7 linked regions of the Sus scrofa genome follow. The protein of the gene in region 4 binds, or shares a complex with, the protein of the main gene of each other region. Links are inferred from orthologs where the notes say so. Each region holds a gene or a part of one and is shown on either strand. Other genes may lie near its edges. The genes, in order: E2F1, SAMHD1, GMNC, CCNA2, CDC6, CDKN1B and RBL1.

What was found.
Region 1: the proteins of CCNA2 (region 4) and E2F1 are in contact, whole or in part, in a crystal structure (PDB 1H24), measured with the Homo sapiens proteins. The link is inferred for Sus scrofa from reciprocal best matches to the Homo sapiens genes CCNA2 and E2F1. Residues at the interface, in NP_001228.2 of Homo sapiens: Met210, Ile213, Leu214, Trp217, Glu220, Val221, Glu224, Arg250, Gln254, Tyr280, Ile281, Thr282, Asp283, Thr285; in NP_005216.1 of Homo sapiens: Val88, Lys89, Arg90, Arg91, Leu92, Asp93, Leu94, Glu95.
Region 2: the proteins of CCNA2 (region 4) and SAMHD1 are in contact, whole or in part, in a cryo-EM structure (PDB 9HIW), measured with the Homo sapiens proteins. The link is inferred for Sus scrofa from reciprocal best matches to the Homo sapiens genes CCNA2 and SAMHD1. Residues at the interface, in NP_001228.2 of Homo sapiens: Met210, Ile213, Leu214, Trp217, Glu220, Val221, Glu224, Arg250, Leu253, Gln254, Tyr280, Ile281, Thr282, Asp283, Asp284, Thr285; in NP_056289.2 of Homo sapiens: Lys615, Ser616, Arg617, Val618, Gln619, Leu620, Phe621, Lys622.
Region 3: the proteins of CCNA2 (region 4) and GMNC are in contact, whole or in part, in a cryo-EM structure (PDB 9HIU), measured with the Homo sapiens proteins. The link is inferred for Sus scrofa from reciprocal best matches to the Homo sapiens genes CCNA2 and GMNC. Residues at the interface, in NP_001228.2 of Homo sapiens: Met210, Ile213, Leu214, Asp216, Trp217, Glu220, Val221, Glu224, Arg250, Leu253, Gln254, Tyr280, Ile281, Thr282, Asp283, Thr285; in NP_001140158.1 of Homo sapiens: Asn165, Ala166, Lys167, Arg168, Asn169, Leu170, Ser171, Glu173, Phe174, Ala175.
Region 5: the proteins of CCNA2 (region 4) and CDC6 are in contact, whole or in part, in a crystal structure (PDB 2CCH), measured with the Homo sapiens proteins. The link is inferred for Sus scrofa from reciprocal best matches to the Homo sapiens genes CCNA2 and CDC6. Residues at the interface, in NP_001228.2 of Homo sapiens: Met210, Ile213, Leu214, Trp217, Glu220, Val221, Glu224, Tyr225, Arg250, Leu253, Gln254, Glu277, Tyr280, Ile281, Thr282, Asp283, Thr285; in NP_001245.1 of Homo sapiens: His89, Thr90, Leu91, Lys92, Gly93, Arg94, Arg95, Leu96, Val97, Phe98, Asp99, Asn100.
Region 6: the proteins of CCNA2 (region 4) and CDKN1B are in contact, whole or in part, in a crystal structure (PDB 1JSU), measured with the Homo sapiens proteins. The link is inferred for Sus scrofa from reciprocal best matches to the Homo sapiens genes CCNA2 and CDKN1B. Residues at the interface, in NP_001228.2 of Homo sapiens: Met210, Ile213, Leu214, Asp216, Trp217, Glu220, Val221, Glu224, Met246, Arg250, Gly251, Lys252, Leu253, Gln254, Leu255, Tyr280, Ile281, Thr282, Asp283, Thr285, Tyr286, Thr287, Gln290, Arg293, Met294, His296, Leu297, Lys300; in NP_004055.1 of Homo sapiens: Lys25, Pro26, Ser27, Ala28, Cys29, Arg30, Asn31, Leu32, Phe33, Gly34, Val36, His38, Leu41, Thr42, Asp44, Leu45, Glu46, His48, Cys49, Asp51.
Region 7: the proteins of CCNA2 (region 4) and RBL1 are in contact, whole or in part, in a crystal structure (PDB 1H28), measured with the Homo sapiens proteins. The link is inferred for Sus scrofa from reciprocal best matches to the Homo sapiens genes CCNA2 and RBL1. Residues at the interface, in NP_001228.2 of Homo sapiens: Met210, Ile213, Leu214, Asp216, Trp217, Glu220, Glu224, Arg250, Gly251, Lys252, Leu253, Gln254, Tyr280, Ile281, Thr282, Asp283, Thr285, Tyr286; in NP_002886.2 of Homo sapiens: Gly654, Ser655, Ala656, Lys657, Arg658, Arg659, Leu660, Phe661, Gly662, Glu663.

The regions. Positions count from the first base shown.
Region 1 is NC_010459.5:37,187,319-37,191,247, forward strand, and holds the start of E2F1 (transcription factor E2F1), read right to left. Parts: upstream 2,801-3,929; coding exon 2,796-2,800; intron 2,741-2,795; coding exon 2,629-2,740; intron 2,505-2,628; coding exon 2,112-2,504; intron 1-2,111. UniProt on the Homo sapiens protein: Transcription activator that binds DNA cooperatively with DP proteins through the E2 recognition site, 5'-TTTC[CG]CGC-3' found in the promoter region of a number of genes whose products are involved in cell cycle regulation or in DNA replication.
Region 2 is NC_010459.5:40,169,136-40,173,408, forward strand, and holds the start of SAMHD1 (deoxynucleoside triphosphate triphosphohydrolase SAMHD1), read right to left. Parts: upstream 2,801-4,273; 5' UTR 2,676-2,800; coding exon 2,468-2,675; intron 1-2,467.
Region 3 is NC_010455.5:128,241,580-128,245,079, forward strand, and holds part of GMNC (geminin coiled-coil domain-containing protein 1), read right to left. Parts: intron 2,188-3,500; coding exon 1,567-2,187; 3' UTR 1-1,566. UniProt on the Homo sapiens protein: Regulator of DNA replication. Promotes initiation of chromosomal DNA replication by mediating TOPBP1- and CDK2-dependent recruitment of CDC45L onto replication origins.
Region 4 is NC_010450.4:102,259,220-102,263,145, forward strand, and holds the start of CCNA2 (cyclin-A2), read left to right. Parts: upstream 1-1,126; 5' UTR 1,127-1,194; coding exon 1,195-1,407; intron 1,408-2,153; coding exon 2,154-2,397; intron 2,398-3,926. UniProt on the Homo sapiens protein: Cyclin which controls both the G1/S and the G2/M transition phases of the cell cycle. Functions through the formation of specific serine/threonine protein kinase holoenzyme complexes with the cyclin-dependent protein kinases CDK1 or CDK2.
Region 5 is NC_010454.4:22,111,942-22,115,441, forward strand, and holds part of CDC6 (cell division control protein 6 homolog), read right to left. Parts: intron 3,353-3,500; 5' UTR 3,340-3,352; coding exon 3,162-3,339; intron 1,780-3,161; coding exon 1,498-1,779; intron 1,374-1,497; coding exon 1,174-1,373; intron 921-1,173; coding exon 745-920; intron 95-744; coding exon 1-94. UniProt on the Homo sapiens protein: Involved in the initiation of DNA replication. Also participates in checkpoint controls that ensure DNA replication is completed before mitosis is initiated.
Region 6 is NC_010447.5:59,733,032-59,737,091, forward strand, and holds the start of CDKN1B (cyclin-dependent kinase inhibitor 1B), read right to left. Parts: upstream 2,801-4,060; 5' UTR 2,759-2,800; coding exon 2,284-2,758; intron 1,738-2,283; coding exon 1,616-1,737; 3' UTR 1,608-1,615; intron 1-1,607. UniProt on the Homo sapiens protein: Important regulator of cell cycle progression. Inhibits the kinase activity of CDK2 bound to cyclin A, but has little inhibitory activity on CDK2 bound to SPDYA. Involved in G1 arrest. Potent inhibitor of cyclin E- and cyclin A-CDK2 complexes.
Region 7 is NC_010459.5:40,200,714-40,203,429, forward strand, and holds the end of RBL1 (retinoblastoma-like protein 1), read right to left. Parts: intron 2,480-2,716; coding exon 2,309-2,479; 3' UTR 501-2,308; downstream 1-500. UniProt on the Homo sapiens protein: Key regulator of entry into cell division. Directly involved in heterochromatin formation by maintaining overall chromatin structure and, in particular, that of constitutive heterochromatin by stabilizing histone methylation.

The sequences.
Region 1 (3,929 bases), on a different chromosome or scaffold from region 4:
CGGTGAATGCTCACCTGTGCAGAAGCTGAGTCTGTAGCTTGTTTCATGGGCTGCCCCAAACAAATGCCAGTGCCGAGGGTCAGTGGAGGCCAGAGCTCAGGTGGCCAGTGGCTACCGAAAGGTACAATGTTCAAGGCAAAACCTGGGCCCATGTTTCTCAACTTCAGCTCCAAGACAGCACCAGCCCCCACCCCTGCCCACGGCGAAAAATGTCTACTAGCCCTTAAGCACTGAGGGGCAGAGGCTCCTTACCTGCCTCTGCCTAGTACCTCATAGGCACTCACCAACAAGTGCTGAATGAAGGGAATGCTCAGGCCCACTGAGGCTGCCCCCGGCACCATAAGGAGTGGAGCACAGGGCATGTCTTTGGCCCAGTCTCTGGCTGTCCCTCTGAACCTAGAGCTCAGACTGCCGAGGGCAGGCCCCACAGCCAAGTACTATCAATTAGCTAAATGGAAGCTACCTGTCCAGGCCCCAAGCTGGTACTTGCAGTAACAGGTTGCTGAGGTGCAGGAGACCAGCCAAGCGACCCACCCCGGTACAATTTCCATCCCCCTCACTCATTAGGAGGAAGGGGTCCTGTGCTTTCATCAACCTCTATTAGCATCTCCAGGAAGCGAGGCATCCTAGTGGTTAACCACTCAGGAAATCTGGACTGGTCTCACAACTCACTAGCTGAGTAACTAGGGAAGGTTCTAACCTCTCTAGGCCTCAGCTTCCCGACCTGGAAAAGGGGAAAGTTGTTGAGAGGGTTAAATGAGTTAATTGGGTAAAGTGCTTGGCACAGGGCCTAACACACAAAACAGTCTCAAAATAATGGTGGCTGCTATTGTTATTATTAGCATCTTAGTGATTCCGGAAGGAAGGCCACACTGGGCAAGGGGCCAGGGGGACTGGGGGAACCTTGGTGGGATGCCTCAGGGACCAGCTGCCACCCAGTCCCCCAACAGTAATTGGGCAGATACTACTTCCTTGCCCTGGGCTTTGCCTCTCCCCTCCCACTTGCTCCAAGCCCTGTGCTGAGACCCCATACTGCTTGGCTGGCCCCTGCCTGCCCATCCATGCCCTACCCTTACCCACAGGCTGCGCCAGTCAAACTGGTCTCCACACCCTGTCCTGCGGCCCACAGGTCCAAGCTCCAGGCCTCCACCCCCTTCTCCCCCTGTAACTCAGCGGTCTCTTCTGAGCCCCCCCCCAATCTGAATTGGTCTTAAGCCTCTTGCTGCTCAGGGAGCACTTTATCAAGGCATCTCCCTGGGGCATTTACTCTTTTCTAGCACTGGGGGCCTCCTCTCCAGCTCCCAGAGGCCCAGCCCACCCAGTACTTCCACTGGGGCCAGGGGTCTGCCTGCCTGATTAATGAGCTTCCATGGCAACCAGAGTCTGGGAGGGTGGAGGGTGGCAGATGGAAGGACAGGCAGAGGGAGGGGAATCAGCAGCTGGCCCAGCCACCCCGCCCCTGCAGAGAAGGCCTCCCAGCCAGGCGGCCTGTCCCCAGAGGCCCGGAGGGCTAGGCCTGCACCTGGCAGTCCAGCATCCAGGCAGGAAGGAGGGTCTCCTCAATGGCCCTTCAACTTTCTGGTCCCAGAACTTTCCCCTGACTTCCCCAAGCAGCCGTGCCCACCATCCAGCCACAAGTTCTGGTCTGAAGCCAGCAGGCCTCAGTTCAAATCCCACTTGCAGCCTTGTGACCAGGGGGCAAGCCACTTCCCCTCTCTGGGCACAGTTCAGATGGGCACAGTGACAACACAGAGCTAGCTCACAGCATGGATGTGAGTTTTAGCTGCCTTGAAGTCTGCCAGAGGCCTGGCAGGCAGTCAGCAACAGCTGAATACACGTGGGCCATTATTATCATTGAGTCTGACCCTAGACAGGCTCCAGCGAAGAAGCTGAGGCCCAGAGCACAGAGGAGCAAACAAGGACTGGCCCGAGGTCACCCTGCACCCCGGGGCGGAGCCCGAAGGCCCAACCCAAGCTCGGCACCGCCCAGCCTGGGCGCCTCAACCCACCCTCCCCCGCCCTCGCCGCCTCCAGGCCAAACATAGCGCCCCGCCCGGGTCTACGCCGGGGTCCAGGCAGCGCACTTGGCCCAGTGTCCCTGGTGTCCGTACCGGCGGGCGGCCGAGCGCGGGGCGCGGCGCGCTGGGGGTGGGCCGGGGCGCCTGCGGCGTGGCGAAGAGCAGCAGGTCGGGGTCGCGGGGGCCGGTGGCGGGCGCGGCGGGGCCGGCGGGGGCCGCTGGGGCGCTGGCGTCCTGCGCGGTGGAGATGATGACGATCTGCGAGGAGTCGAGCAGCCGCAGCGCGCCGGCCCCGAGCAGGGCCTCCAGCGCCGGCGCGCATGGGCCGCCCGCGGGGGCCACGGCCATGGCGCTCACGGCCCGCGCGGCCCGGGTGGCAGTCGGCGGCGGCGGCGCGGGCCCATGGCAGCAGGCCGAGGCGAGGGCTCGATCCCGCTCCGGATCCCGCTCCGCCCCCGGCCGCCGCTGCCTGCAAAGTCCCGGCCACTTTTACGCGCCAAATCCTTTTTGCCGCGAAAGAGCCACGAGCCGCCGAGCGCTGCGCCTATTGGCTGTCCTGGCTGTGACGGAGGCGACGGCGACGGCGCCCATTGGTTGCAGCGCGCCGGACCGGCGGCGGAGGGCGGGACGGGGCGGCGGCGCGAGGAAGCACCGCCAATCGCAGGATGGGGCGCGCGCAGGCTTTGTCGGGGCGGTGCCAGGCGCGTTCGCACTCCCCGCCCCTAGAGGGGACGGCCCTGTGTGGGGAGTGGTGGCCCCACCCCCTCTTCGACGCACCCCATCCTGTTGATACCCTTTAGTGGAGGCTTTTACAACAGAACGTGTGTTGTGCACAGATCGCTATCCACAGACCCCACGTGACCTCCCAGAACCCCCACCTGTGGGTGCTCCAACACCCTCAGGCCATAACTCTAGAAACTGCAAACGCAGTTTCTCTTTTCCAGGATCTCAAGCCCACCTACAAAACCCCAGCCACATCTTTCCTCAACTTGCCCCACCAATGCCATTTACTTTCAAATCCTGCGCCCACCTTATCCCTTCCACCCAGAGCACAAGCAGAAGGAGTTGCCAGAAAATGGAGAGGAATGTCTGACCCAGTACAGCTTGGGGCTTTTCTCCAAAGCCTCCTGTAGCTGGAATCGCTTCAACAACCAAAGCACAGCTTCTGCTTGAACTGATTCCTTCGTTCATTCAACAAACCTTTTTTTTTTTTTTTTTTTTTTTTTTTTGCTTTTTAGGGTACCCCCTGGAAGGTTCCCAGGCTGGGGGTCAAATCAGAGCTGTAGCTGCCAGCCAAGGCCACAGCCACAGCAACATCAGATCTGAGACCTGTCTGCCACCTACATCACTGCTCACCACAACGCTGGATCCTTAACCCACTGAGCAAGGCCAGGGATCGAACCCACAACCTCATGGTTCCTAGTCGGATTCATTTCCGCTGAGCCACTTTGGGAACCCCAACAAATGTTTTGAGAGTCTGCTCTGTGCCCCCTTCTTGACTCCTGGCCCTAAGGATCTAACAGTTTAGTGAAAGGGGCTGGAGGGAAACTGAGGTAACAAATGTTTACATATGACACAGATTTCAACTATTAAGGTAATTCCATGTTAGATTTTACAAAGGGAGGAGGTGAGTGTGCTGAGCAACCAGAGGCCACAGGACCTCCCCATCAGCCACTTCTCATTGCTCAGTTCAGCTGATTTGAGTTATATTGTCCTCTCCTCTGTGCCAGGCTTTGTGCCAGCGCTGAGGGCAGATATGTGAAAGGCTTGATAATTTCTATGAACTTGCCTGCCATCTGGTGGGGATGGGCCCATCAAAAAAAAAGTAGCTGGAGTTTCCTCTGTGGCACAATGGGATCGGTGTCATCTCTGTAGTGCCAGGATGTAGATTCTATTCCCAGCCTGGCACAG
Region 2 (4,273 bases), on a different chromosome or scaffold from region 4:
GCCAACTGACATTTACATCAACTTTACTGGATTACCCATTTCTCCTATTATCACTCTTTAAATATTTTTTAATCTAAATTTTAAAATCAGTGTTCTTAAAATTTTGAGTGAGTGAATGTCTTTTTCTGTGTTTACTGGTTGGCTGTCACTGTCCTTGTGATTTTCTCATTTTTCTACTGGATTTTTTTTCCTTCCTTTTAGCTGACTTTTTCTCCATTTTTTTTTTCTTTTCTTATTGGTTTGTTTATTCTCTTATTGTTTAAGGGAATCCAATGTATTTTGATGAAAACACATATTAAGATATAGCTAGCATGAATTCTGGAGTCCAAAGACCTAACCTTAAAATCCAGCACACTTTTTCCTAGTTGTGTGACCTTTGAATCTCAAACACATCATCTGCTAAAAAATACCGATTACAAAAAAAAAAAAAATACGGGAGTTCCCGTCGTGGCGCAGTGGTTAACGAATCCGACTAGGAACCATGAGGTTGCGGGTTCAGTCCCTGCCCTTGCTCAGTGGGTTAACGATCTGGCATTGCCCTGAGCTGTGGTGTAGATTGCAGACGCGGCTCGGATCCAGCGTTGCTGTGGCTCTGGCGTAGGCTGGTGGCTGCAGCTCCGATTCAACCCCTAGCCTGGGAACCTCCATATGCCGCAGGAGTGGCCCAAGAAATAGCAACAACAACAACAACAAAAGACCAAAAGACAAATAAAAAAAAAAAAAAAAGAGAAAAATTATTGCAATAGGGAGAACATTCTGATCTCAGAAGTCTACAATTGGCTCAAAATCAAACAAAAAAGAAGGTGTCTTTTTAATACTGTAAAGGAGGGGCAAGCAGAGATTAAGTAAAATCTTTGCAGGAGAAGTGACCCCAGCCCGACAGGATATTGTCCCACTGTGGTCAACTGGTTCCCTGGAGAAGTTAATCACGGGGCATATTCCACTTTTTTAGTGTTTGCTCTAGGTTGGGGGCAAATAAGAGTTCAGAGGTCAGTAGAAGAGAGAGCAGACTGACTAAAGTGTAGTCAAAACAAAGCAGGTAGTAAGAAATGTACAGTTATGAATACTTGGTCAGTTTCTACCAATTAAAAGCACATAATGCCCTCCGCTAGTATTTGACTGTGGGTCAAGAGGACAGATCATCATGAAGACTGATGAATCTACAGGACACCACCGAAAGAGAGAATCAACAATATAGGCAATCATATTTTGAAGACAATAAATAAAAACAACTTCATCCCCACCTATTGCTACTCAAAGAAAAATTTCATTCCCAGAAGTGGTGGAGAACAAAAGGGAAAAAGGAAAAAAAGAAGTACAATTTCCTACACCCATTAAGCTATCTTTAAATTTAAATCTTCAACCACTAAAGTTCCTCCCACCCTAGTCCCCTAGCCTAAGCAAATAAAGCTCCACCCTACAACCGCAAAAGTTTGCTGAATTTGCAAATCACATTCTCTTCCTATGGAACACTTCAGAGGGTAAAGAATAGGTTAAGCCTCACACCCCTTACGGGAAGTTGAGTAGATTTCAAGCAGATGGATACTTGAACCTGAGCCAGTAAAGTCGCACACCCAACCCACACATCTCCCCCGTGTGATGCGGCCAAGTTGTGGGCTCCTGGGAGTTCACTGGTCAACTGAACCACCCGACCGCTCTGATTTAGGGAGGGAAACTGCTTTTGGAGAACAAAACATGATCATGGCCAAGCTCTGCAAGTACAGTCATCAAGCATGTATGTATTGAGCCCAACTGGGATGCTAAGGTAGGTGATGGGGATTCAGAGATGAGGAGAAAAGTTCTTTCCTCTTTAGAAAAATCCCAAGTTGGGAGGGGAGCAGAGGAAATAGAAACTTTAAAGCACCCAAATATACCCTCCTCACGTGGCAAGTGTTCATGGAGCTGCATCAGCAGAGCGCGCTCGGGAGACAGCAACTCTCCCTCCCACCAGGCTCTCCGAACTGAAAAAGGGAGCTGAGTCCCGCGTGTCCGGCGCCGGCGGGGCAAGTTCCTGAAGAAGGCCACCAGAGTCAGACCAACTGCCACCCCCAACCCTAGGTTCGCAATCCCCAAAGTCTGCTTCATTCCTACGGATCCCCGACCCCAGACGCCCCCCCCCGCCCCTTTCTCCTTCATCCATCACTCCTGGGAGCCGCCGCCTCAGTCCACCCCTTTGGGTGCCTCCGGCGTAAAGTTCCCTTCCTCGCCTCAGGCTCCTTTCTCCGAGTGCTCGCCCCCTCAGGTTTCCGTTCTCCGCCTCAGGTCATCCCTCCTGGGCGCCCCGCTTCAGGTCCACCCCTTCTGGTGCCTCCCGCGTTCGGGCTCCCTCGTCCACTTGGCTCCTCTTTGAGGCCCCACGCTCATTACCTCAGAGCGCCCTCTCCTCAGGTCCGCTGGCCCCACCTCGGGTCGCCGCCACCCCCCCCCCCCCGCCGCCCCCGGCCCCTCAGCCCTCCAGCCCTGCTACCTCGGCAGCGTTCCAGCAGTTCAGAATCGCCGAAGCCACTGCGATTTAGGAAGCCGCACACCTGCTCCGGGCCCCAGGTCCGGTGGTCAGGGTGGAGGTTGGGGCCCAGGGACCTCTCTGCCGCTGCTGGAGGGGTGTTTGGCGGGGTTGTCGGGCTGCCATCGCACCGGGGTCGCTTGGAGGGCTGCTGGGAGTCGGCACTCTGCATGGCTACACCCAGCAACCGGCTCAGCACAGCCTAGAACCCCGGCGCTCTACCCACGCGCAGGCGCACTGACAGTCCGGCGCCTACCGCGAGTCAGCTAAGTACTGCCAGCCCCCAGGCCTCCCGCGCAGGCGCACTGACAGCTCGCACCTTGGGACCAGGCCGGCCACCCATCTCAGCACCCCCACGCCCCCCAGCCCTCGCGCAGGCGCAATGACCGTCCAATGGCCCTAAACCCCACCCGCACGTTTTCGATAAAGGGAGTGAATGGAGGCCGAACTGAGGGAGGTGCTGGTAAGGGCGGGGGAGCCTGGAACGAGTGTGCCTGGGACGTCCCGCTACAGTCCAGAGCAGGGGCTCTTCTGGTGAACTGAGCTAATGAGTACCCCAGGCTTACCCTTGGCGGTGTTTCAGATACCCTAAACTTAAAAAAAACCCTCAAAGGCCTTAAAGTTGCCCCTGTCTTCCCAATTAAGAGAAAAATTGGCAGGAAGCTGAACTGGAAGATGCTGGAATGAATTCAAATCTGATGTGAAGGTGTTTTCTTACATTTTACTGTTGTAGAATTCCCAGAAATCACGTCAGAGGACACCCCAGGAAGATGGAGAACAGCTTTATTAACACTCGTGGGTCCACGGGGGAATTGCTTCCCAATCATGGACCCCAAAGAGAAAGGGAGAGATATAGTGCTTGCTGACATGTTTTACATGCTACATTAACTTTTAATTATGTGCAGGATAGAGAAAGATGTATAGCTGTGCAAAATGTCTTACATTGTTACTCTGATAATTAACCTCAAGTACAATCCAGCTATTTTCAAATATCCTTAGAACAATTGGGGCCTGGAGTTTCTCAAGTCCTAGAGACTTTGCTTTTCTCAGAGCCCTCATATGGGTCAGCTTAAGTTAACCAAGATGGACGATGGTGGCAAGATGGCTCTACTCTTGTCAAGCTCCCTATTCTCTTTTTCCACACCCCTACATTACCAGTTTTTAAGATATGCTGGGCAGAATTCCCGTCATGGCTCAGTGGTTAACCAATCTGACTGAGGACCATGAGGTTGCAGGTTCGATCCCTGGCCTTGCTCAGTGGGTTGAGGATCCGGCGTTGCCGTGAGCTGTGGTGTGGGTCGCAGACTCGGCTCGAATCCTGTGTTGCTGTGGCTGTGGCACAGGCCGGCGGCTACAGCTCTGATTCCACCCCTAGCCTGGGAACCTCCATATGCTGTGGGAGCAGCCCTAGAAAAGGCAAAAGGACAAAAAAAAAAAAATATATATATATATATATACTGGGCAGTTAGAGGATCCTGGGGATGCCTGTCTGTGAAGTTTTAGCCTATCTTCAGGTTTCCACACATGAGCAGACTTCAGACTTCTAAAAGAATTCTCAACCCTTCTCTCCATTCCAACTCCCTGCCCAGAGGAAAGGAAGTGGCCAATTTATTTTCAAGGACTTTTACTACCTGCTGGTAACAGCTTGTGGAAATAGCAGGGATCTTCCTCTCATTTTTGCCACTCTGAGGCAGGACACAAACTTCTCTATAAATCCTGGTTTGTGCAATTAACTGGTAAAAGAACTACTACTACCAATACAAGTTCCTG
Region 3 (3,500 bases), on a different chromosome or scaffold from region 4:
ATGGGAAAGGGGTTCAACATGGTGGGTTTTATCATCAACTAAAATTTGGTCCCCCCAAAATCAAAGCTACACATCTTCAATAAATTATAGAAGGAAAGGGAGATTGGGGAATTGGAAAAAAAAGGAGAACTAGCATAGCAGGAAGAAAACATTTTTTTTTAATTTAGAAAGGGAACTCTTTGATGTCAATATTTCCATTAAATCTATGCACAAATGTTTAAAAAATAATGTCTCTTTTTCTTTTAGATGCATGTTTTCACATAGACTGAATTAACCTGGAAAATGGGTTCATACCAGAAAAAGAATACAGTGATCAGAGCAATGATTTCTAGTATTAATTACAAATGGCTTACATTTTGTTTAAATTGACTATAAAAAAGTTCAACCAACATATCTGCAATGACAATCAAAGTAGAGAATGGTGCCCTGGGATGGCAGAACTGGAGTTAATCTGATGGCACCAAGGTTCATTTATAGAATGTTAGTGATTATCTAGTCTGACTTCTGTCAGCAGATGAATGAGTCTAAATCTCTTAAGGGTTCCCATAGTATCTAAGTTTGTTCCCATTTTATTAACACCTCATAGCACAATGCCTGGTACATTGTTGGTGTTCTTCAAATATTTTTGGTGTGTTGATGCATGAAAGAATGAATATATGAATGACTGAATGAATGAGCAAGATAGCATCAGAGCTAAACTATACTATACCATCAGGGATAGAAATTTATCAGCATCTACGTAGTTAAAGATAGTGATTTATTCTGCTTCCAATAGTCCCTCAAAAATGTTCTTCTTTTGTCATGTTTGTTGCAAACACAGTGTCACATGCCTATAGAAGCTGTATACCATGTGGGAATTTTGAAGTAATTTAAATTCATTTTACCTTTTAATGTATCAGTAATTATGAGTATAGTTATAGCTGTTGAGTATAGTTATAGCTGTTGAAGAGATTTTTTTTTTTTGGTCAACTCCACCATGGGACACCCAATGAAGTGCCCAACAAATAGCATTCCTCACACCTACTTTACGTCTTCTGGAACAGCAAAGGACAAAGACATTTGCTTCTACCCCACCCCCAGTTATTTGAACACTTACTAACAGGTACTTGGAGCAATTATAATGCTCATTTCAAAGGCAGTTTTTAGAAATGAAGAGGAATAGGAGAGGAATAAAAGTGAAAGGGAGAAGGCTGTGAACATTTAAACTGCTTGATGAAAGAAGAAAAGCTGTTAGACTCATTATAATTGCAAGAGCATATGTAGGTCTCTAAGGAATATTCAGGCAATTGGAAAATACCTTTTCAAGTATAGGGCCAAGGGACGAAGTTAACAGCAGGTGTGGGTGTATAAACAAGTCAAATTTAGGGGAAAGAAGAGCAGGCATGTTTCATTATGGATTCGTGGAAGCCATTCCCTGCAGATTTAAGTGGGTAAGTGAGAGTGACATTTAAAGCGGCAGGAGACAATCTGGGCAATTGCTTGCATTTTCCACATATTCAGGTTCAAGTGCAAGAGGTTCTTGTAAACAGAGTTCATGGCAACCTTTTGTGGTAGAAGAGAAGGCCACTAAGACTGCTTAGGGACCCAGGTAAACTTCCAGCCTCCCTCTTCGTCACGACGAACAAAGGCTTGTCCCTGGTGGAAGGAGTGAGTTTTCACATTACAGTGAGGGCTCAGGGATGTGGAAAAGGCCATCTCTGTCTTATTGGGGGAAACATCAGAAGCATAGAAAGGAAGAGTTTGTAGCCCTCCTGGGGGGGTTGAAGGTTGAGAAAGGAAGTGGAAATTTTCCCTGTGGCTGGCAGTGCTGTGTGAGGAGGCAGTTCCATCACCTCCACAGTCAAGTGGCAGATCTTCCCCAGGGGCTCTGGGATAATCAATTGCATGGTCTAGAAACTGGGGAAATGAGCTGGTGGTCCGTCTGGGATGAGACGAGAGGGCACTGTAGTTAGCTGATGAGGTGTCATCAATGGTATTGAGATCTTTTAATCCCAGTGTTCGAAGAACCCAGGGATCCACTGGGGGCCCAGGTTGGTCTTCACAGTTAGCAAATTCCCTCGAAAGGTTTCGCTTGGCATTTTTGTGATGGGGAATCTCAGGAGGAAAATATCTTTGCTCTTTGGGTTTCCTTTTCCCCTTTCTGAATTTCCCGCAAGCTTTGGAGAATTCATCTGATGACAACAATTTCTGGGGAAGTAATATTTGAAAATCCACAATCAGATAATCAACCAATGTCATTTTCCTTACTTATTCTCGAGTATTTACTAGTAACATTAATTCCTTAGAAATCTCGATTACATTTCTGTGATCACACACAAAAGCAAAACTGATTGGATTAACTTCTGTTTCTAAATGAAAATCTATGATACACCCAGAAATTCAAATTCATATTATTTTACTAGTCATTTAAAAGTTAAAAGGAATAATTACGTCTTTAAAATTTCAATTCAGGTAAGTAATGATGACAATGATGATGGCAATAATAGCAACTATCATGTATTAAGGACTGGTTTACATTCGTGATCATATTTTATAGAGATACTATTAAAATCTCCCTTAATAAGGAAACTGAGGCACAGGTGTATTTCCAACTTGCTAAGGATCACACAGCCTAGATGTAAAGCTAAGCTAACAGAGTCTAGACAGTCACTGACTGAAATGCTATGTAATACCATTTCCTCTAATTTTATTAACCTAATACTACTTCCTCTAATTTTATTAACTTTCATAGCACTCTCATGTGATATATATCATATTATCCTAAATCTTGGAAACTTGAGAAACAAGAGAGAAAAAAATTGCCTAATTAATACCACTTGCTAATATAATAATTGCCTTTTTTTACAGAATTGTGACTAATAACTGCGAGCTATGCTCTCATTTTTTAGCAAAGATAACTGAATTCTAAAAAAAAATATATAGTAATTTTTTCTTCTCTGAACTGTTATATCTGGTAAGAGTCATAAGAAGCACGATTGATGACTGATGTAGATAAATGATGTAGCTTGTCCAGAAGTGAAGACTGATGATAGAAACAATGAGGTTATAACAGAATGGCAAATAGATAACAAAAAATACAAAACCCAAAGAAAGGAAGAACAAAAAAGGAGACTATGGGAAAATTATCCTTGAGTTATAGACAGTTCTTTTCTTCTTCTTCTTCTTGTTTTTTTCTTCTTTTTAGAGCCACACCTGCAGCATATGGAAGGTCCTGGGCTAGGGGCTGAGTTGGAGCTGCAGGCCTACGCCACAGCCGCAGCAACACCAGATTCAAGCTGCATCTGTGACCTATGCCACAGCTCATGGTAATGCCAGATCCTTAACCCACTGAGTGAGGCCAGGTATTAAACTTGCATCCTCATGGATGCTTTGTGGGGTCCTTAACCTGCTTTGCCACAATGAGGACCTCCTGAAACGGTTCATTTTCAAAAGGTAAGAGAAAAAAAGTTCATTAAAAGACAATGTAGCTGGCTTTGTCTAATTGCCAGTCAAGAGATCTG
Region 4 (3,926 bases):
ATTTGTTGGAAAACAGTGCTTCTTAATTATATACCATTATAATTATTAGATATGTGCAAGCCTTGTATATTAAATGTTAGAATTTGTTAAGGCACATATTGCTAACAGAGTTTTATTTTAATAAGGTCATATTGTTTTTACTATATTTAAACATTCATTTCTAAATGGAGCACATAATTATATATAGATCACTAGAATTTTACTCTGCTTTTTGTTGGCTACCACAGCTTGGGAAAGAAAGAGATGAACATTAATGACCATCTAGTGGAGTTTTTTTGTAGTACATTACTCTTTGCTACATCTATCAACAGTAGTACAAGGTGGTACTTCAAAATAACTGCATCATCATTAGAAAAATAAAAAGCATGACTGTGCGAAGCACTTAAATGGTAAGATGATGTAGTCTGCCACTTGAGTATCAGTTACGTTAGCAGTGTGTTAAATGACTTATGCACGTTATTTAATACTAAGGACACCTATATAACGCATAAACATTATTACTCCCAATTAACAGTTACAAAACTGAGAATCAACATTGAAGTGCTTGAACAAGATCACCGGGCCAGTAAGTGGGCGGATCAGATTTTAGACCTTGAGAAACTAGTCAGTCGAGCTAACTGGAGGTCCTGAGGCTAAAGGCCAAGGTGGCCCACTAATAATTGTTAAAATTTAATTTAGTTTATTCTAGAGACAGCCCTTGCTCTGAGACAGGGACCCCCTAGTGGCTCCGTTTAAAGTCACAATAAGCTTAGGCCCCGCCTCTTTGCGCAGCGCGGGCGTACTTCCTCCTGCTGCTCACCGACTTTTCTTCGCCCCGCTCCGCCCCTGCTCGGTTTCCTTCGCGGCAGCCTTCACTTGCCTGCGACTGTGTCGCCCAGCGTGACGTCACGGGCCTTGGCCCTTATCATTGGTCCATTTCAATAGTCGCGGGCTACTTGAACTGCAGGAACAGCTGCCGCTCCGGCGGGCTGCTCGCTTCATTCCGGGGGCGTCCTTGACCCTGCACGCCCGGCAGCGCCTGCCTCCGGCTTTTGCAACCTCCTTGGTCCTGCACGATCCTGAGCAGGCGGGCGGGCAGGCTGGCCCGGGCTGTGGCGGGTAGGTAGGGCAGGAGTGTTCCTCGGCGGGTCGGCGGGACGCAGTGCACGCTGCTTGGCGCCGCAGGCTGATCCCGTCGCGCCCCCGGGAGCAGTGATGTTGGGCAGCTCCGCGCCCGGGCCTGTGGCCCGCGAGGCGGGCTCGGCGTTGCTAACATTGCAGCAGACGGCGCTCCAAGAGGACCAAGAGAACATCAACCCCGAGAAGGCTGCGGCCGCCCAGCAGCCCCGGACCCGGGCTGGGCTGGCGGTACTGAAGGCCGGGAACTCACGGGGTCCAGCGCTGCAGCAGAGGCCTAAGACGCGACGGGTAAATGAGTTATTATCTGGAGGAGGGTGGGCCAAGCGGGAGTTTTGCATGGGTTTGGACCGCAGAGGAGAGTGGCGAGGTAGCATCTCCTGGGGTTTTTTCGGGAGGCCAGTGTCGGGGGTCCCTTTGACCTCTGGTTTTCTCGAGTGTGGGATGCCACATTACCCCCATTCCTTTCTCCCATTAGTCTCCCTGCCAGCACTATGCGTTTATGTTGCCTGTCTGCTCTATGGAGAGTATTTTGCTATAGACAATAATGGTCAAACCAAATCCTCCGACGTTGAGTATGTGTTAAGTACGGTCTTTGCCGCCTCCGCGCCTTTCTCTCAGCTTTTAGGCCCCAGGCATTGCCCGGACCTCCTTCATGCTACCCACATAATTAAGAGATTACCTCTACTTTAGAAAAAGGTATAAAAAATACTTTGCTTTTGGACAATTCCGCCATCTTACCGAATTTGCTCTGTTGCTCCACCCTGGGGCGAAAGAGGTAAACCACTTTTTTGCCATTTCTCCTAAATTTGGCATCTTTTGGCCTGCCCCACCACCTATCTTAGCCCTGATTATTTTTGTGTAATCCGTTAGTGTGACTCTAAAACCTCTGCAGGAACGCATACTCAAATTTCCTTGCCTGAATTTTGCCCCATAAAGTTTAATTTTCCTGATAGAGTATTTGGAAGTAAATGCAGTATAAGGGGATGAAAGCCAAATTCCATTTAATAGACTCAAAGCCAGTTATTTATTTTTAGGTTGCGCCTCTTAAGGATCTTCCTATAAATGATGAGCATGTCACTGTTCCTCCTTGGAAAGCAAACAGTAAACAACCTGCATTTACCATTCATGTGGATGAAGCAGAAGAAGAGACTCAAAAGAGGCCAGCTGAATCTAAAAAACCAGAAAGTGAAGATGTCCTGGCTTTTAATTCAGCTGTTACTTTACCTGGACCAAGAAAACCACTGGTACCTCTTGATTACCCAATGGATGGTAGTTTTGGTAAGTTTTAAAGAATATCTGTATCAAATAAATGTAATCATAATTATTGCATAGGTAAGTTTAGAAAGGCTGTGACTTATTTCAGGCCTCACAGTTTATCCATGACCTAGTGACCTACAAAAGGATCTTAATCCTATACTCTCTGGTACACTATTAATCACATCAGTTTTATTAGATCTCAAACACTTACTTTAATCTGACCCTGGACATGTTGCTTGATTGGGAGAATATATTTCAATTGTATTCTTAAGATTCACTTTGTATATACCATTTCAAAGAGTGCTATTTGAGGATGTAGTTTAAATATTGTGATCAGGAGTTCCCGTTGTGGCGCAGCGGAAACGAATCCGACTAGGAACCATGAGGTTTCGCGTTCAATCCCTGGCCTTGCTCAGTGGGTTAAGGATCCAGTGTTGCCATGAGCTGTGGTGTAGGTCGCAGATGTGGCTTGGATCCCACGTTGCTATGGCTCTGGCGTAGGTTGGCAGCTACATCTCTGATTAGACCCCTACCTGGGAACCTCCGTATGCAGTCCGGTGAGGCCCTAAAAAGACAAAAGACAAAAAATAAATGTTGTGATCAACATCTCTTCCAGCTTTAAACTTTTGTTTAAAAGCAGTCTGAGTGATTGACTGACACCAGGGAGGGACATGGTTATCCTGTGAGTCACAGTTGAACTATGCTTTTTTGTACATTACCACATATAATAGATGGGCTCACTAAATCTAGTATATTTTAGTTCTGTCAATGAGAGGTATAGCAGGGAAGTCCTTTGAAAATAAAATAATTTGTGTACTTTTATTTAAAATGTACAGGAGTTCCCTTGCGGCTCAGTGGGTTAAGGATCTGGTGTTGCCATGTTGTGACTGGTTACAGCTGTGGGAGGGTTCCATCTCTGGCCTGGTAGTTGCCACATGCCCTAAAAAGACCAAAAAAAAAAGAAAAAAGTAAAATTTACAACAAATTTTAACCTCAGATTAAACCTTGAAGTAAAAACATTAATAGCTGATACTTTTTGCCTCCAAAGATAATCTAAATTTACAACAAAGAATCTCCCCTTGATTGTAGTGTTAATAGGTTGGAACTGCCCATAACAAATATAATTCTCTTTAGCACACATTAGCCTTCTAGTTACCGTCTAGATTGTGCTTTGAATACGTCAGACTTTGGGGTCTGTAAGCTCCCTTATGACAAATCCTAGGTATTACCTCAAAACTTGATTTTAACTTATTCTGACAGAACCGTTGTACTCCTGTCATGGGAGATGAAGGATACTTTAACAAAATATCTTTTCCTCAAATTCTTTTTCCTGTTAATGGCTTATCAGTATTTTTTTTTTTTTCTTGTTAAAATCATTCCAAAGCTAGGTGGACAGAGGTACGAAAATCAGAGTGAAATCCTCTATGTATTTTGTCATAAGAAGCTCTTTTTAGTTGGATAAAATAAATGCTTTGGTAGTATGGGACTCCTTACAAGGACAATCACTTTTAGCTTTAATTAGATAGAAAATTAAAAGTAACTTAATCTTA
Region 5 (3,500 bases), on a different chromosome or scaffold from region 4:
TCGAGAACTGCTCAGCCATGGCCATTCAAACAGTGTGTACAATACATCCTGCCCTTTGCTGTCCAGCTGATCCATCTCGTCCAACACCAACACACTACAGAGAAAGAGAAACAATAGTATCCACGTTCCCCTTCTCAGCTCTCCCATCTGTCTGATCCGGACGGATTCCAGGCCACATCCCTGCAGTCGTAATCTGCCCTCCCTCCCGTCCCTGTTATGATGATACCTTCACCACTGCCAAAAAGCAACAGCTTGGCATTTCTTTTTTTTGGTCTTTTTAGGGCTGCACACGAGGCATATGGAGGTTCCCAGGCTAGGGGTTGAATCGGAGCTTTAGCCACTGGCCTATGCCACAGCCACGCCAGACCCAAGCCGTGTCTGAAACCTACGCCACAGCTCATGGAACCGCCGGAGCCTTAACCCACTGATCGAGGCTAGGGATCGAACCTGCATCCTCATGGATGCTAGTCAGATCCGCTTCCTCGGAACCACAGCAGGAACTCCAGACTGGCTTTTCAAGCAATTAGTTTAAAACCCCTTTTTCCCCAATTTAAATTTAGGAAGGTTTTGTTTTTTCCTTGTCTTCTTTCCCTGGAAGCTTATATAACTACCTCTCATAAAGCAAATCTAGGAAAGGTACTTTTTACGAGCAACCTGATAAAATGCAAGAGACGAGAATGTGAGCTGGGGGACAAGAGACCCTGTAGACTGTCACAGAGTGACATGCGGCAGAGCAGTGCTTACATCATGGGGCCCTTCTCTGCAGTCATATGGTTTTCCAGTTTCCTCATCAGGTCCTTCCCAGCTGGCCTGGATACTTCTTCCTGACAAATCTCCTGAGCAATGGCTGGGAATACAGCCTGGGCACTCCTCAAGGACATGCAATTCAGCATGACGGTTTTAAAGCCTTTCAGTTCCTTCTACAAAAATGCAAACATGAGTTATTTTAGACTCAGATAAAGATCTGACGGAACCTAAAGTGTCTTAGAGGAGTGAATAGCATACAAGAGCGTAAGCTCCACTTCCATTTGGAAAGATTTAGACAGTGAAATGAAAGACATCCTATTTTGGGGAACACGTCGATCCCCTAGGGTCCGTCTCCTCTTTCTTTCTTAACCCTTAAGAACCAAGTGTCATTTTGCAAGAGCACCGTAATTCGGGCTCTCAATATACCTTGAGGTCTTGCAGAATTCGGCTTAAGCAGGCAGTTTTTCCAGTTCCAGGAGCACCAGAAAGATAAAGACTTCCAGCTTTTTCCCCACAGATGTGCTCCCTCAGGAAATTCCTGAGGACATCCATCTCCTTTTCCCTGGCAGGCAGCTGATCCGGGACAGCTGTCGTCAGGACCTGCTTGGCTTGCTGGTAGCAAGTGCCTGTGCCAGACATGAAAGGACAATTAGACACAACGGAGGTGACTGAGACGACCCACTGGGCCTCCTTTGGAATCCCCAGCCTTGTTTACAAGGCTGCACCAACAGCTGCCAGGCGAGAACGAACCTTCTTGCTTGAACAATCGCATACGAGCAGACTCCTTCTCCAGCGGACATCTCTGCTCAGAACTTGTTGTGACCTCTGCATCTTTTCGAATTGAGGAACGTGTTTTGCTTTGGTGAACTCCGGCTTGTTCCCTTTTGCTGGGAGACTTAATTGTCGGCTGATTGTCAAATACCAATCTGCGCCCCTTAGGTGTGCGTGAGCGAGGGGGACCATTCTCTTTCTTGCCTTGCTTTGGGGGTGAACAGGGAGGTAAACGGGGAGTGTTGCACAGGTTGTCGTCACCTGAAACATATTAAAATCAAAACGTGGTCATTCGGAGCAGTGGGTGGTAAAAGGGCTTGGCGTGCTCTTTGCATCTCCCCCTCCCCCCAAAGAAATGAATTTCTGCCCCTCAGAACCGCCAAAATAAAATGCCTTGCAGCCAGAGCAAATATTGGCCACCAGATGGCAGCCCTGAATTTACTACCTTTTGGTAGAAACCAAAAGGGTTTTTAGTTTAGGATGAAATTCTAGGATTGCTCTAAAGCAGGGCACTATGTCCGTAGAACCCCCTCAGTTATGACAACTAAAAACGTCTCCAGATACTGCCAAATCACCCCTCATTAAAAACAAGGAAGGATCACCACCGTTCTAAAACAAGAATTGTCACCTGTTTCTCAGTTTTATTTTTTTGGCTGTGCATGCAGCGTGCAGAAATTGGACCTGGAAAGAAACCCACAGCCACAGCAGTGACAAGGCTGGATCCTTAACCCACTGAGCCGCCAGGGAACTCTGTCACCTGTTTCTCTTAATTTCATAACTATTGAGCCAAGTTTCAAAATACTATAGAGGAGTTCCCGTCGTGGCGCAGTGGTTAATGAATCCGACTAGGAACCATGAGGTTGCGGGTTCGGTTCCTGCCCTTGCTCAGTGGGTTAACGATCCGGCGTTGCCGTGAGCTGTGGTGTAGGTTGCAGACACGGCTCGGATCCCGCGTTGCTGTGGCTCTGGTGTGGGCCGGTGGCTACAGCTCCAATTGGACCCCTAGCCTGGGAATCTCCATATGCCGCGGGAGTGGCCCAAAGAAATAGCAAAAAGACAAAAAAAAAAAAAAAAAATACTATATAACCAACTGAAAGGTAACCTGAAACACTGACAGAACAAAGTTCAGTGTTAAGAACTGAAGATTATATCTATTAAGTAGTTTAGAAAATGATCTCAACAAGTAGCTTAACTTTGAAGTGCTAAGCACTTAGCAACCATTCTGAAAATAACCAAAGGGAATAGAGTGGTCATAGCTGAACTCTGAAAGCTGTTTCAAAGGCATCTTATTATTATTATTTTGTTTTTTAGGGCTGCACCTGTGGCACATGGAAGTTCCTAGGCTAGGGGTCAGATCGGAGCTGCAGATGCCAGCCTACAGCACAGCCACAGCCACAGCCACGCTAGGTCCAAGCCTAGTCTTCGACCTACACCACGGCTCACGGCAATGCCAGATCTTTAACCCATTGAGTGAGGCCAGGGACTGAACCCACATCCTCATGGATACTTCTAGTATCATGGATACTAGTCAGGTTCATAACCAGCTGAGCTACAACTGGAACTCCCCCCAAGGCATCTTGTTGAGAAAAGAGAGGTTGAGAGATACCAGTCAAAAACTTGTACTTAAGTAATAGATAACTTACCCAGACGTTTTCTGGGGCTAAGAGGCAGAATTTTTTCACAAGGTGAACGGGGTATGGCCTTGACATTTGTCAGTTCTAGTTTGGTGTCACTGGAGTTTTTTGCTTTGCCCAATGTCTGAGACAGTTTCTTTTTTGGAAAATTGATTGTAGCCTGTGACTGGGAGCGGGTTTGAGGCATGACGGCAACACAGCTGGGTACAAAAAAGAGAACAAGACAGCCAGTCCATATGCAAAAGTGAAGGAAAAATAACTAACATGGAACTCACATCGATAATCAACACTTGTTTCATAAATGTTCTAGCAATAGTTTAGCATTTAGTTCTGCTTCACATCCAAATC
Region 6 (4,060 bases), on a different chromosome or scaffold from region 4:
GTAGCAAAATTTTCTAAATTTGAAAAATAACTGGAAATAGAAAAGCTCACCAAAGAAAATTCTATTCACCCCCCCCAAAAAAAAAACTAGTTTCTCAGTCGTATGAAGAGTATACACACATGAATGCTTGAGAAGAGGTCCTTACTACTATTTCCTGTATTCGCTGAACTGGCAATATTTACTAACAAATGCCTCTCTGTATGTCAGAATGCGGCCAGATCAAAATCCAGTAGGTCTGATTTGCTGTGGCTCATCTGATGAGCTAGGCCACGAGTCACCAACCAACAAGAGCCACAGGTGTTAAGGTTGACTCAGAAATTTTTTTCACTTCATATACAGCTATAACGTAGGGTTCGATAGTGCCGTGTTGTATAAGCTCTGAAAGATATCAGACGTATGTAATAAAGTCCTACCTGTGACACTGATGTAAAAACACAACAAACTTGAACCCTACCTTCATCCCTGTTCTTTATTTTAAAATTTTTATAAATGAGGATTTTGAAAGTTAATGTCAACATCTCTTAGGATCTCTTTAAATGCTAAGCTATGAGGGTGTTTGTGGAGGGGAAAAAAAAGAGGTCACGGTCATTGTCTGTAAGGAGTGTACAAACTATTAACTAATATATGTAGTTTGATCATTATGGAAACCAATCCATGTAAAGCTGGGGGGCTGAATTATGCAAATTAGTTTTTTACATTGATCAGATTTTAGTAGGTGGAAAAATGTCCACTTGCCTTGTTCGGGGTAGCCCTAACCAGTGGCAGCCCTGGTATCTACTATCCATTTCCCCTACAAATATCCAAATTATCCTGTTATAGCACGATTAGCATACACATGCTGACGTGTTCCTGGATTGCTTACTCTGGCAGAGTTACTTAACTTCTGCTTTGTAACTTCAGTGTTATCAGAAATTCCATAGGAACCTTAGCGTTTTTGAGCCTTCCATTTTGGTTTTTTTTAAATACACAGGTTCCTTCTCCATCCCCCACACTGATCAGAAAACAGGGCAAGTGACACTTTGTGAAAACGATAGATAAAAGAAAGCCACACTCCTCTCTATTCACATTTCTAACCATGTGATTAACCAGATATGAGCCATTTGTACCTAACTTTTCCCTCAAAGTTTTAACTGGATCATTTATTTGCCATTTTTTTCCATGTATGGCTCAAAATCTGTTAGAGTCAGCTTGGTCCTCTGGGAGATGAATTCTCCTGAAGTGGGATGGAGGCAGACCCCCGCTCTTGTTCAGATGGAAAAAGAACCTATTGTTCCCAACACCGTTTTGATGGGACTCTCAGGGAACTGACCTTCCTACCCACAGGGCCTTGGTTGCAAGTATTTGCCTGGGACACTTGCTCTAATCATTGGGAGCTTCAAAGGAAAATGATCTCAGGACAGAGAAACTGGGAAGAATTATAGTACCCCCACCCTGATGCCCAGTCTTTCCCATTCCTCCTTTTTTTGGACCTCATAAAATACAAACAAAACCCCACAAGCTCTAATCTGCCAGACACCACTAAGATCGGGTATCTTGGTGTTTGAAAACCCATGAGTTCCTTCAGCCCAAATCGGGTGTCACTTATTTGCTTCCAGTGATCAACCCACCGAGCAGTTTACGTTTGACGCCTTCTGAGGCCGGGCTTCTTGGGCGTCTGCTCCACTGAAGCCGAGTTCGGGGAACCGTCTGAAACATTTTCTTCTGTTCTGTTGGCTCTTTTGTTTTGAGGAGAGGAATCTAAAGGCAGGAGGGAATTTTAAAAAGAACACACACAAATAATCTTTATTAGAAAAAACAATGGCTGACACAAGTTGGCTCGATACTGAGGGGACAAAAAACCCACCACCTCCACCCACCATCCTGGATCCGTCATTCCCAGTGGCCTTTAAGGGCACAAAATGAGGTTGTTTTCACATAACAGAAAGTGTATTCTACGCCCCAAATCTCTCTCTCTCCAAAGCGAAGAGGGAGGTGGTTGATAAACATCCCAACGTTGTCACATACCTACAGCTGGCTAGCGGGGAGGAGCCGCGATGTTTTCAGTTAGAGAAATTATCAGATAGCACAGTCTCATGCTTCAGACTTAAAAGTCATAAACAGACCAGCAGCTAGCCAAATAGCATTTAAAACCTAAGATGAGGAAGGTGTGTTCCCCAAGAGCTAAGTCAGAATGCGCTGAAAAGAAAGCGGAGGTTTAAGATCCTCAAGCAGGGAAAACAGCACGGCAGACAAACAGAGAGAGGCAGACAAACAGACGTTTCATGCATTCGAAAGGGTCATTACCGTCTGTGGCAGGTCGCTTCCTTATCCCAGTGCACTGCTCCGCTAACCCCGTCTGGCTGTCCGGTGCATCAGTCTTTTGGTCTACCAAATGTGTGTCCTCTGAGTTGGCCTGAGACCCAATTAAAGGCACCGCCTGGCGGGTCCCGCTGACACCCTGGCCCTCCTGCGCCGGCACCTTGCAGGCGCCTTTGGGTGGCCGCGGGGGTCTGTAGTAGAACTCGGGCAAGCTGCCCTTTTCCACCTCCTGCCACTCGTATTTGCCCTCCAGGGGCTTGTGATTCTGAAAATCAAAATTCCACTTGCGCTGGCTGGCCTCTTCCATGTCTCTGCAGTGCTTCTCCAAGTCCCGGGTTAACTCTTCGTGATTGACCGGGCCGAAGAGGTTTCGGCAGGCCGAGGGCTTGGGGTACTCCGCCTGTCTGGCGTCCATCCGCTCCAGGCTCGGGCTCCCGTTAGACACTCTCACGTTTGACATCTTCCTCCCGGGGCTCGGCGACCGCCTCTCTCGCGCTCTCGCAAAACAAAACCGAACAAAACAAAACGCCTCGACCCAGCCCGAGCCCCTCTTATAAGCCCTGCGGCTGCCCTCCGAGCCAAGAGAAACAAACACCGACGAGTAAGCGCCCGAGCGTCAGGAGCGCGCTGGGGCTGGGGGAGGGGGCGAGGGGCAGCCCGGGCCAGGCAGCCCCGAGTCTCCGCCGATCAAGTGTACGGGCGAGCTGGAGGGCGGGGAGGGGAGGGGAGAGGAGCGCAGCGGAGAGAGGAGGGGGCAGAGCCAGTCCGAGTCCCCGCCGCTGCGAGCCCGCGGGTCCCGCCGACCGAGCGGCTCTCCAAACCTTGCCGGCGTCGGAGTCGCGGAGCGGCGAGAAAGTGGGGACAGGGGAGGGGGAGAAAAACACCCCGAAAAGACGAGCCCCCTTTTTTTAGTTGCCCAATATGGCGGTGGAAGGGAGGCTGACGAAGAAGAAGATGATTGACACCGCAAGTCTATTTAAACAGAGGAGGAGATCATTGGTCGCGGCGCCGGGAGCCGCCCAGCCGAGACTGGCGAGCTGGGCCTTAAGGTGGCCCCTGAGCCGCCGCTGCGCCTCCCCGCCTCCCGAGCGCGCCGCCGCCGAGCGCGCGGCCGGGAGCTCGACTGGTCGCGTGACTGCTGGAGGTGCCGGGCTGCCAGCAAACCTGCTCTGGCTGGCCTCGGAGAAATTAAAAATAAGACAAACTCGCCAAAAGGCCGGGGAGCCGGGGAGGGGCCTGGCCGGAGAGGTGGCGGGTTCTGGTCCCTGCGCTGCGCTCCGCTCCGGAGCCCCGACCTCCCTCTCCTCGCCGAGGGCGATCTTATTTTCCCCTCGCTCGCCGAGCGGGTAGGGGCGGGCAGCTGGGCTCGCCGCTGGGCGCTCGGCCCCCAGCTGGGCTCTCTCCCGGGGGGGCCCCCACCGCTCGCTCAGCGGGGGAGGCGGGGAGCCCCTGAGCCTGGGTGCCTTAGCTGGGGGTGAGCAGTGGTTAGCTCACCCTTAACCTAGAAGTCTGTGCTGTTCTAGGGGAGGCAGGGGGCTTAGGGGGGAAGCCCAGGAGGACGTCTTTCTATAAGTAGACTGGAATAGATGCTGCATTTGTAATGTATTCTGAACCCAAGCTCTCCCTCAATAAAAACAAGAAAAGGGCTTCGAGATCAAAAACTCTATTGGTCTCCCAAGTCCCTAATAAACTTAGTAGCTGTCTCAGATACATTTCGTTTAAAAAAGCGAGGATACACCCCTGGCCCAGGTTCTTGCTTCCC
Region 7 (2,716 bases), on a different chromosome or scaffold from region 4:
CAGAAATATTACCTTTTTTTAAATATGATTTAACATAATCTAACCACACAAAAATCTTAATTAGAAAATTTTTAAGCTGTGAGTCTCAAATAGAGAAACACATCTGAAAGCACTCTTAAGAGAGAAGACTTCCTTAATTCAGTATTACATTTGGTCCATTCTAAGGCCTTGAAATGTATCTTTTATATGTATCTAAGGCATTTTTCTCAACTGAGGTGAAATTCACCTAACACAAAATTAACCATTTTAAAGAGTACCATTCAGTGTCATTTAATAAATTCCCGATGTTATGCAATCACCAGCTATATCAAATTTCAAAATTATTTTCATCACCTCTAAAAATCCCCTGCACTCATCAAGCAGTTACTCACTCTATGCTCTTCCAAGTTCCTGGAAAGTACTAAGAACATTAACTTTTAAGTTACAGTAAGATATCTGAAAGATATAAAGTGGATAAAAGAGATATATATTCTAGTCACACAGAAAAGAGCACAAGTATAGTTTTTTCAATAATTTCAAAACTCTAATATTTTATTAACCATTTTATGTACATTGATATCCAGTCTTGAAAACTGATAAAAACTTGTCCAGAGTTTCTTATAGAGACAATGTACAAATGCTCATTTACATTTTGCACATTAATAATGACGATTAAAATGGCACAATAGTTACAGCTACACAAAAATATATACAAGGATTCGAGACAGATTTGATGTTATTTGTCTTATAACATGTGTAGATACTACACAAAAAAATTCGGATATAATTTTCAGAAACGTAAAATTTGACCAAAGTCACTTTTCTTCTTAAAATTTAAAAATAAAATTCCTGACAATCGTAATTACTAATTCATAGTCAAATCTTAAGCAAATTCAAATTAGCCCAGGTTAGACAAAGGTTAAGTTAAATATTTCATATTTTAAAAAATAAGGTTTGCAGCTTAAAAAACATAAATCTGATAACATTTCCTCAAAATTAATTAAGAATGGCTTATCCATGTCCTTCCAGAATCTGGAAACACACTAGAAAAAGTGAACACTGAACAGCTGATTCTTTGGAAAGCTGCACCCCTAGCCCTGGAAAACATCCTTAAGAGGCCCCAGGGATCAAACCCTAGTGGGAAACTCACAAGGCATGAGTGATACTGAGAACCAAGAGGGAAGGAGTAATAAACAGCTGTTTTCTGATGTATAGCAGAATGATAAGGCATGAGGTGATAGTAATTAATTAAAAAAGATTTCAACTATTCTTAGGGAATCGATTAGACATTGAGAATGACCAATCTACAATGACCTCAAAAATAGTATTTCACATATTATCATGGTAGGAAATTTAAATTCTAACAACTTTTTTCTGTATTTTACTCTACTGGCCTGAGAAGCAGCTTCCTATTTTGAGAATTCTATGACATAAAATAATCAAGTATAATTAAGTTAATGGTTTGGAAAACAAAATGATAGTATTAAAAAGAAGCAAGAGGAATTTCCTGGTGACTCAGCAGGTTAAGGATCCTGCATGAGGATTGCTGTGGCTCCAGCTGTCATTGTTGTGGCATGTCACATTGCTGTGACATGCTGTGGCTCCAGCTGCTGCTGTGGCATGGGTTCAATTCCTGGCCTGGGAACTTCTGCATGCCTTGGCACGCCCAAAAAATAAAAAGTAAAAAGGAGCAAGTACCTCCTTTATTAGGTTGTGACACCAGGCTAAGAGGGTTTAGGGTTGGAAAGTAAGAAGTAGCAGGGATAGTGCATTGGTTCAGGTTTGAATCTGCTTCTGCTCAAGGAAACAAAGGGCATGAAAAGGATCTGGACAGCCCAGAAGGGTAGTGGTACCTGGATGTGGAGTTACCGCCCTGGGTCAGAGACAGGCTGGTACCACCTGTGCTCAACATTAAACTAGGAATACAACCATCTCAAAGCACACTTAAAGCAAAAACAGATGATTCACTTTCATATTACAAAGTCTAGAAGGAGAAGACATTTGAATTATTTCAAAAAGTGAGCTAACAAAATTATGGGGTTTCTCCTTACTTCGTCTGAAAAACCCAAGGAACAAATATTTTAAAAATTCTACAACTATTAATACGTTTAAAAGGCACTTAAAAATTCCTTTATAATTCAACTCAGTATACATCTCTGTCAACTATATTTTGGATAAATTTTTAAAAACTGCTTAATTTTGGTGTAATTTTTCCTGTAACTCAGTGATATTTACTTCCTACAGGGCTGACTGAACATTTTGAAAGATAGACCCCCAGCTTTCCGCAAAACAACTTGAAAGTGCTTTTATCATAGAAATGGAAAAAATTCTAATGATTTGCTCTTTCACTGACAACATCCTGTAGTCTTTTAAGTAAAACATCATCATTTTCTTGACAGATGCGTTTGGCAGGTGATTCTGCATCACCATCGATGGCTATTGCTCGCTTCTTGGTTCTCTGCTCACCTTGCCTTATCATGTTGTTGATATCTTTCAAACTCTGTGCAAAAATACAGGACATGTGTGAGTAAAAAGGGAAAAAGAAGCAGCAGCAGCAAAGAACTGAGCTGTTTTTTCCTGCCTTCTATCCTCTATACAAAGTTAAACACTGGGATAGAGATGATTTTAAAAATTAGATTTACCTTATAGCAGTAGTTATCAAAATGTGGATATCAGACCAGAAGCAGCAGAAGCATTTAGAAACTTATTAAGAATGCAAATTCTCATGCTTCACCCT